Ovis aries: one gene and its partner. The protein of the gene in region 1 interacts with the protein of each later gene in a biochemical or structural test. Links are inferred from orthologs where the notes say so. Each region holds a gene or a part of one and is shown on either strand. Other genes may lie near its edges.

Evidence for each region.
Region 2: the proteins of EHD1 (region 1) and SNAP29 form a complex in vitro, tested with the Homo sapiens proteins (2 studies listed by BioGRID). The link is inferred for Ovis aries from reciprocal best matches to the Homo sapiens genes EHD1 and SNAP29.

What each region holds. Positions count from the first base shown.
Region 1 is NC_056074.1:39,563,574-39,567,820, forward strand, and holds the start of EHD1 (EH domain-containing protein 1), read right to left. Parts: upstream 2,810-4,247; 5' UTR 2,552-2,809; intron 1,438-2,551; exon of another isoform or gene 1,355-1,437; intron 656-1,354; 5' UTR 1-655. UniProt on the Homo sapiens protein: ATP- and membrane-binding protein that controls membrane reorganization/tubulation upon ATP hydrolysis. In vitro causes vesiculation of endocytic membranes. Acts in early endocytic membrane fusion and membrane trafficking of recycling endosomes.
Region 2 is NC_056070.1:72,311,328-72,315,127, forward strand, and holds the end of SNAP29 (synaptosomal-associated protein 29), read left to right. Parts: intron 1-960; coding exon 961-1,059; intron 1,060-1,692; coding exon of another isoform or gene 1,693-1,745; coding exon 1,746-1,863; intron 1,864-2,304; coding exon 2,305-2,372; intron 2,373-2,590; coding exon 2,591-2,748; 3' UTR 2,749-3,665; downstream 3,666-3,800. UniProt on the Homo sapiens protein: SNAREs, soluble N-ethylmaleimide-sensitive factor-attachment protein receptors, are essential proteins for fusion of cellular membranes.

The DNA of each region.
Region 1 (4,247 bases):
GCTGGTGCAGGTGGAGGGGAGCAGATTGTTCAGTCATAGGAGGGTCACCCCTGAAGGCCCTCAGCAGAGGGGATGGGGCTGACAGGACACGGAGAGCAAAGCTGTGTGTGGGAATGAGCGAGGGAAAGGGGCCGATCCTTGGCCAGCCGCGTCAAGTCCTTAGAGAGAGAAGGTCGACTTGCTCTGTGACTTTAGCGAAATGCTCACCCTTTCTGAGCCCATGTTCTCATCTCCCAGACCAGCCTCACAGCAGTTACCTCACAAGGTTGCTGGGGTGATTCCAGATGATTGATGTAAGCAAGCTCCCAGCACACAGAAAGGGCTCAAGAACATTCCATTTACTAAGCAATTTGGACTTTATCCCTAGGTCTGTGTTTCCAATGTTTAAACACTAATGTTTTAGCAGCAGAAACTTTTTTATTCAAATGAAAATGTTCTCAGAACCCCATGTTATAAAACCCACGCAGGAGTGAGGCTACTGTGGGAGCTGGAGCAGGGCTGGGGGCCGTGCTTCTCTCCACGGCGGGGGCCTGGGCAGTCAAGAGAGCAGAAGGGGTGTGCAGAGCAGGCGCCTGGCTCCTGGGGGGCTTCAGCACAAACTGGAACCCAGAGTCCTTGGCTCCTCTTGGTCACATTGGACCGTTGGCGGTGCTTCCTTAGGATGCAAGGTGGAGGCCCAGGGTCGGTCCAGACATTTATTGAGCACACACCTGGGCTCAGCTTGGGCTGGGGGCTGAGCTCATAGGTGGTGGGGAGAACAGAAACACGGGGAGAATGCAGTGCTTGGGGGAAGCATGGGGTGCTGGGGGTGCTCGCTGGGCACTTCCGGTCAAGTGGGCTTTAAGAAGGCTTCCTGGAGGCAGCAAATGATCCAGCAAAGCTTGGAACAGTTATTGATAGTAAGTAAGCCCGACAAAAAGGCTGGGAAGGGTGCTCAGGCAGAGGGAACCTCACGGACTGAGCACAGAGACACACAGCACAGCCGGTGGAGGTGGAGCCCTAAAGCAATTCATTCATTTTCCCCACGCAAGCAGGCAAGTGGGGAGGCGGGGAGGGGCAGACTGTGGCAGACAGGTTTCATGGCCCACCAGGGCACCCCCGCCCGCCCCTTCCCCTGCAGGTCCTGGTGGCTGGCATCGAGGCGAACATACCTGTGACCTATGGAATTGGCAGCCAGAGGGGACACGAGAGCACTGGCTGTCAATTCATAGGTCAGAGCCCTGTGCACTCGCTCTTGGCAGCCTGCTGACAGCCCACTGCCCTTCGCCACCCTGGTGCAGGGAGTGTGGCCATGGGGGTGGGGGTCCCTGCTGGTGTGTGCTGGGCAGTCGCCGCTTCGCCTCCTCCGTGGGTGTGGCCCCCACCCCAGATAACAGCAGCCCCACTGGAACTAGTGGTACTTCCACATGGAGTTGCTGTTACAGGGGGTGGGAGCCAGTTGGAGGCCTGGGCCCTGTCCTCACGGCCCTCGGTCCACAGTCTTTTTATGGAGGCTCCTTATCATCTGGGGCCCACACCTGGAGTCTGATGCCAGACTCCTTCTGGGCGAAGTCCAGGCTCAACCCCAGATCTGCTCATAAAGCTGGGAGTGGCTCCCGTTTACAGCTCCTGGGCAGCCTTTGCCCACTGACACCCCACACCCTCTCCCCAAGTTCCTTGTTTCCTCGTTTCTTTCCCAACTAGAGCTGGGCCCCAGGTTCAGGTCTGCCGCTGTGGCCTCCACTCTCTGCCCTTTGCCCACCCTTCCTGCTGCAGCCACAGGGCGGAGACACAGTGAGGGACCACTGGGCATCTGCGATCTCCAAGGACCTCTGAATGCCCAGAACCCTGAGGAGGGTGCCAGACACGAAGCTGGAGATGAGACAGAGAGAATGGTGGGGGGAACAGAGAAGGGGAGACAGTGAAAGTGGGAGAGTGAGGCAGGGGCGCCGAGAGAGGGCGATGAGAGGGGCAGGCAGAGAACGGGAAGCAGACAGAGCTGGGGGGCGGGGAGCATAGAGAACCGGAGAAGGTGCTTGAGACATCACCCCCCACAGAATGCTAAGAACAGGGCTATCAGCTGATTCATTCTGGAAGAACATTCAGCACCTCAGTGGCCCGACAGCCAGCAGGGTCCTAGGAGCTGGGTGACCTTGAGCAAGTGGCTTAACCTCTCTGAGCCACTGCTGGTTCTCATACCAGGGTGTGTGAGGTCACCCTGGCCGGCGCTGTTGCAGAGCCACCTCCCCTTCCAGCTTTGGGTCCGTTCCCCGTTGGTTGGGGTCCCTGAGCTGGCCCAGGGCCCCAGGGGAACAGCCCTCTCTCCTGCCGTGTGTTCGCATCCCCACCAAACAGGCTCTGGCCCCTTACAATAGCAGTCCTGTGAGGCCTAGGGGATTCTTTGGAGAACCCAAAGCTTCTGGGGAGAAAGCGGACCTGGGACTCAGCTTTTAGAGTGGACCTAGGCTATGGACCCCTTTCCCAGCAGTGGAAACCGGCCCTGGGGGGCAGAGGAGGCTGCCCAAGGTCACAGAGCAGGTTCTTTTGAAGACCTGCAGGCAAGACCAAGTACCTGGTTTAGCAGAGGCAGGAGCAGCGGCAGAGATCCCCGTCATCCACTCAGGTTTCCATCGATGGAAACCGAGGCCCAGGGGCAGAAACGACTCGCTTGGGTCACCCAGGAGTTGCCTCGGGGCCCTTCCTTTCTTCTTAGAAGGGCTGGGCTCGGGCGCATCCAGGGTGAGTGGGCAGAGGGGCTGCAGGGACCTAACCCCGCAGGGAAGGCTCTTACCTGGGCGCCGGGCTGGCCCTCGGGGCACGAGGAGGAAGTGGGGCCACTCTGGGCCCAGCGCCTTTTGAGCCGTTGGCCCAGCCCCTGGCTGCAGTTAATGATTACCGTGTCGCTTGTCAATACCGATCCCAAGTGCAGTTCGAAGGGCATCAAACCCTGGACTGTGCTCGGGCAGGGTGGGGCAGTTCCAGGAAGCATCAGCCTGGGCCCCACCTGCCTCTCCTGGTGGCATCAGATCCCAGCCATCAAAACCCTGCTCCCCTGTCACGGCGTGGCCTGTGGCCCCACGCGACGTTGAGGACCCTGGGAGCCACTAGGACAAAACTTCTGCCCCAACTCACTTAGGGCCCAGGTCCTCACCGAGGAGGGCCCACCAGGGACACAAAGCGGGTTGGGGGGCTTTGCTGACACCCCAGCAAGGTGAGCATTCTCTATGCCTCAGCCTGGGCCTGTTTCCCCATGGGCCCTCCCATCTCAGCGCAGTGCTCCTGGAGAACTGGGTGGGGAGGGGCCCAATAGAGTGGCCCCTTCTTCCTTGTTCACCAGAGACAAGGCAAGAGGTGTGGGGAGGGGCGGGCGATAGCCATTTCCCCATCCCAAGTGTTTCTGTGCCAAAGTCACTGTCAGGCCCCCTTCCAGCCCGTGTTGTCCCCAGCGCCCCTCCCCCTCCAGGGGGGAGCTGGGACCCCAGGGTAGAGGTTCCAGTCACCTGAAAACCTGCTAAGGAAAGCAGGCGTGGCCCCAGAGGGCCCAGCCTTCCAGGAATGGCCTTGACTGACCCTCGTGGCCCCTGGGTCGGCTGGGCAGATGACTGGGAGGGGCCTGAGGCTCAGAGACCAAGGGCGAGGCCTCAGGTCACAGGGTCGGGGCCTCGGCCCCCCTGGGGTCCTGCACAGTCCTACCCTTTGCTCGGGTCCAGTGCCCTCCCAGTGCCCCAGGGAGGGCTGGATTGGGCTTTTTGGGGGAGGGGCCAAGAAACATAGTCTGGGTGAGATGGGCTCCAAGGACCATTTCTTCTCTCCTCTCCTCTCTACTCAGAGCCCGCCAGATCACAAGTGGTGCCAGGGTGGCAGTCCCCCATGAGAGGGGCGAGGGGCCTAGCGCAGCAACAGGGCAGCGGAGGGGAGGAGCAGAGAGGCAGGCAGGCGGCTGGGTTCGAGGCCAGGGGCAGTGGGTGGGGTGGTGGTGGGCAGGGGGCTGTTCACCTGCCGGGTGGGTGGAGAGGGTGTGGCAACCCCTGGTGGTGAGCTGGGCGGTGCAGGGTACACAGCTGGGGACGGGGCGGTGCAGGTCGAGGCTGGGGCACTGCAGGTACACAGGGGGGCTGGCGGTGGGCAGTTTATTCCACGTCATGCAGACACTGACCCACACGCTCAAGGAGCTTAAAAATACATTGAGCCACACGGTGTCCGTGCCCCCATCTCCCGCCGAGACACAGAAAGACACTTGGCTGAGTGGGTCCAGGTCCGAGAGCCTC
Region 2 (3,800 bases), on another chromosome or scaffold:
ACGTGGCAAAAGGGACAGTGTGGTTGCCCAGTGGCTGGCCTCGTTGTGGGCGGAGTTGTCCCAGTGACATCACAGAGGCTCTCTGCTCGTGGGAGGGGGGCAGAGGAGAGAGTGGTGGCCCTCAGGACTGGCTCCCCAGGGCTGGATGGGGCCAGGAGTTGCCTCCCCTCGAGAGCCTGCAGGAGCCCCGCCCCACCGACACCTGGGTCTGCGCCCAGGGGCCCCGGCTTTGACATCCACCATCCAGAACCGAGGGTGGCTTGTGGGAGTTTGTCAGGGCGGCTAACGCAACCCATGAGGCCCAGCCACTGGACAAGGAGTACAGGAGGGAAGGTGAATGACGGGCCCAGAAACGTCCCTTGTCTCGAGAGGAACTGGCTTCCTGGGGGCTTCTATGCACCCCAGAGAGCCAGGCACGTCAGACATAACCAACCTGCAGGGTCTGGCAGAGAAGGGACCAGAGGGCGTCTAGGAGGTGAGAGCCTTGGAGGAAGGGGTGAATGCTGTGCCCCTGAGCAAAGAGAGACCCCGAGTCTAGCGAGAGCTGGTCCCAGGAGACGGGGCTTGAGGGCCCGGGCTTCTCTGCGTGCACTCGGAAACAGGCTTGGAGGAGGCCTTCTGGGGCAGGCGCGTGTTGTCCGTGGGTCTTCTGTAGCCTGTGCGGGTTTGCACGGCGACCGCTCCATTGCACATCACTACCTGCACGAAGCTCTTTGCTGAGCTCGAGGGCCAGGGTCTGGCCAGACCACCCTTACCTGGGGGTCTGTGATCTCGGAAGGGCTGCCCCCAAGGAAGCATCGTCTTCCCCCACCTTCCCCATCCCCACCCGTCTCTCTCAGTGGCCTCGGACCTGAACGCCTTGGGCCTTCCACCGATTGTCCAGGCTAAAGATGAGTTTCATGAGGCGACTCTTCAGGGGCTGTCCATTAACCGTCCTCCCGTGCCTCTCTGTCAACCCAGACTCCGTCCCTGGAGGGGCCGGTTCAGCTGTGAGCTCCGAGGCCTACCCGCAGAACCCGCACCTTCGCGCCTGTCACCAGAGGATCGACAGCAACCTCGGTGAGCCCAGAGCGCCGCTGCCTCCACGCCCGCCCGCACCGGGCCCCGGGGCCTGCCCCCCACCCACCCCACGCCTGCACGGCTCCCAGCCCTTCACCCCCACTAGGCTCTGCCCGCCTGCTTCTGTCCCCACCTCTCATCTGGGCGGTGACAGCGGCAGGGGCGGGGTCTGCCAGCCCCCCTCCGCCTGGCCCTGAGCCAGCCTCCTTCGGTCGCCCCGTTGTCTTTAGCTCAGTGACAAGCCTCCCGGAGCACCGCGCTTCTGCTGCCCTCGCTCTTAGCTGGTGGAAGAGCAGAGAGCCGCTCTGGGCGTGCCCCCCACTCCCTGTGTGTGTGCAAACTCGTACTCCCGTAGGCACACAGGTACACACACCCGCACACATATCTGCAGGCACACGTGTGCACACACACACACACACACACAGCCACAAAACCCGAAGGAGGAGCTTTGCCTTCACCCGGACAGTCAGTCGGGCCGGAACTCCGCTCCGCGGCTGGCACAGCTGAGTCGGGGAACCCCAGGCCCTCGCCGGCCCCTCCCTGCTCACAGCCAGTGCTCTCTGCCACGATGCTGACGAAGCCTTTGTGTACTCAAGGCCGACTGTGACCTTACGGACACCTTTCCCCTTAAAGGCAAATTGAGATTGGTTTTCACCGCTTCTTATGACAGAAAGCATCTATTACAGAGAGGAGTGGAGCCTGGGGTACATCTCAGGTGTGGAGCCCGGGGTATGTCTCAGGAATGGAGCCTGGGGTACATCTCAGGTGTGGAGCCCGGGGTATGTGTCAGGAGTGGAGCCCGGGGTACGTGTCAGGAGTGGAGCCCGGGGTACCTCTCGGGTGGAGCCCGGGGTACGTCTCAGGGGTGGAGCCTGGGGTACATCTCAGGTGTGGAGCCCGGGGTACGTGTCAGGAGTGGAGCCCAGGGTACGTGTCAGGGGTGGAGCCCGGGGTACGTCTCCGGAGTGGAGCCCGGGGTGTGTGTCAGGAGTGGAGCCCGGGGTACGTGTCAGGAGTGGAGCCCGGGGTACGTCTCAGGGGTGGAGCCCGGGGTACGTCTCCGGAGTGGAGCCCGGGGTGTGTGTCAGGAGTGGAGCCCGGGGTATGTCTCAGGGGTGGAGCCTGGGGTATGTCTCAGGGGTGGAGCCTGGGGTACGTCTCAGGGGTGGAGCCTGGGGTATGTCTCAGGTTTGCTTCCAGGCGGCAGACCTCCCGTCTGCAACTCAGCATCTGTGCTTGACGCAGCGTCAGGTTAAAGGCAGCTGGAAGCTGTGTGGCCCTGTGTGAATTTCTAGAAGAAACACCGTGTCCATGTACGGACAGTGGGCTCCCGGTGGGCTCGGGAGGGGGTGCTTTTCCATCGGCCAGTTACTGCTGCTTGACTCACCGCTGTGTGTCCTGGAACCAGAACTGTTGCCCTGGCACCTGGCCATCTCCCAGGAGGACGGGCCAGTGACCACAGGGGGCATCTGGGGTGCAGGTCCCGACGCCCTGACTGGGCTCAGGACACGCATACCCTCCTGTCCTGCAGATGAGCTGTCCGTGGGCCTGGGCCGGCTGAAGGACATCGCACTGGGGATACAGACAGAGATTGACGAGCAGGACGACATCCTCGACCGCCTCACGACCAAGGTGGACAAGCTAGACGCCAGCATCACCAGCACCGAGAGGAAGGTGCGGCAGCTGTGAGGCGGAGGCCGACTCCTGCCCACCTCGGCGGAGAGATCTCAAAGGCCTTCTTTTAAACTCCGAGAACCTTCACTTACTACTTCAAAATGTGGTTTAACATGTGTTTCCAGATGTTGTAACAGAGTGGGTCTCACGAGATTTTGTTTAGAGGACGCGGGCCCCCCTCCCCTCAGGACCCTGACCGGACAGCTGTAGGCCGGGCGGGTCAGGCCGGCCAGCGTCTCCATGTGCCGTGTGGCCCCCAGGCCGCCCACAGCAGAGCGCCAAGGGCCGCGAAACCCCAGTTTGCAGCGCTCCCCCGCCATGAGCCCATCGTGATCCTCTGAGCCCCAGGAGAGGCCAGCAGCAGGTTCGGAGTGGAGGGGGTGGGCGTCCTCGCTGTTGCGTGGACAGACGCCACCTCCTCCCCTCCCGGCCCCTGAACTCAGCAGGCATTTGATTTCAGGAGGAGAAGGGGCTTCAGACCTGTCCTGCTCACTGTGATGCCTGGAAACACTCTGGGAGCAGGCGAGCCTGGGCTCAGGAACAGGTGCGACCCTGGCCCCAGGCTGCATGGCCGGCCAGGCCCCGGAGCGCACATGGGCACGCCTCACGGAGGTGCTCTGCCGAGCTCTCTGCCCTCGGGTCACCCGGACCGGGCCCGCACGCAGCAGCGCTCACTCGGTTCCGGGGGTCCCCGGCCCGTCCAGGGTGCCCACCCTCTCCCCGCGCTGCCGGCCACACGCCTTGACTCATCTCTTGGCTGTCTGCCCCCCAGTTTTAGGACTGGAATCTGCCCGTGGCAGACCATGCCTGGAAGCATTTGGCTTTTTAAAAGCCCAGAGGTTATTCTAACAACCCTAGCGTGTTCTCGCTTCTCATTTTATTAAAGAAGAATCATTTAAAAGCACTAATTAAAATTGATTTCTGAACTTAAATGACTTTCTGTTGGTGCCTACAACAAAATAATTGAAGGCAGAAGGTCTCTTTAAACACAGGTTGTTGAACATGCTTTGAAGACAGTGAAAGGGACTAATTCTGATGAGACAGTACAGGTCAGAAGCTTTAAAATC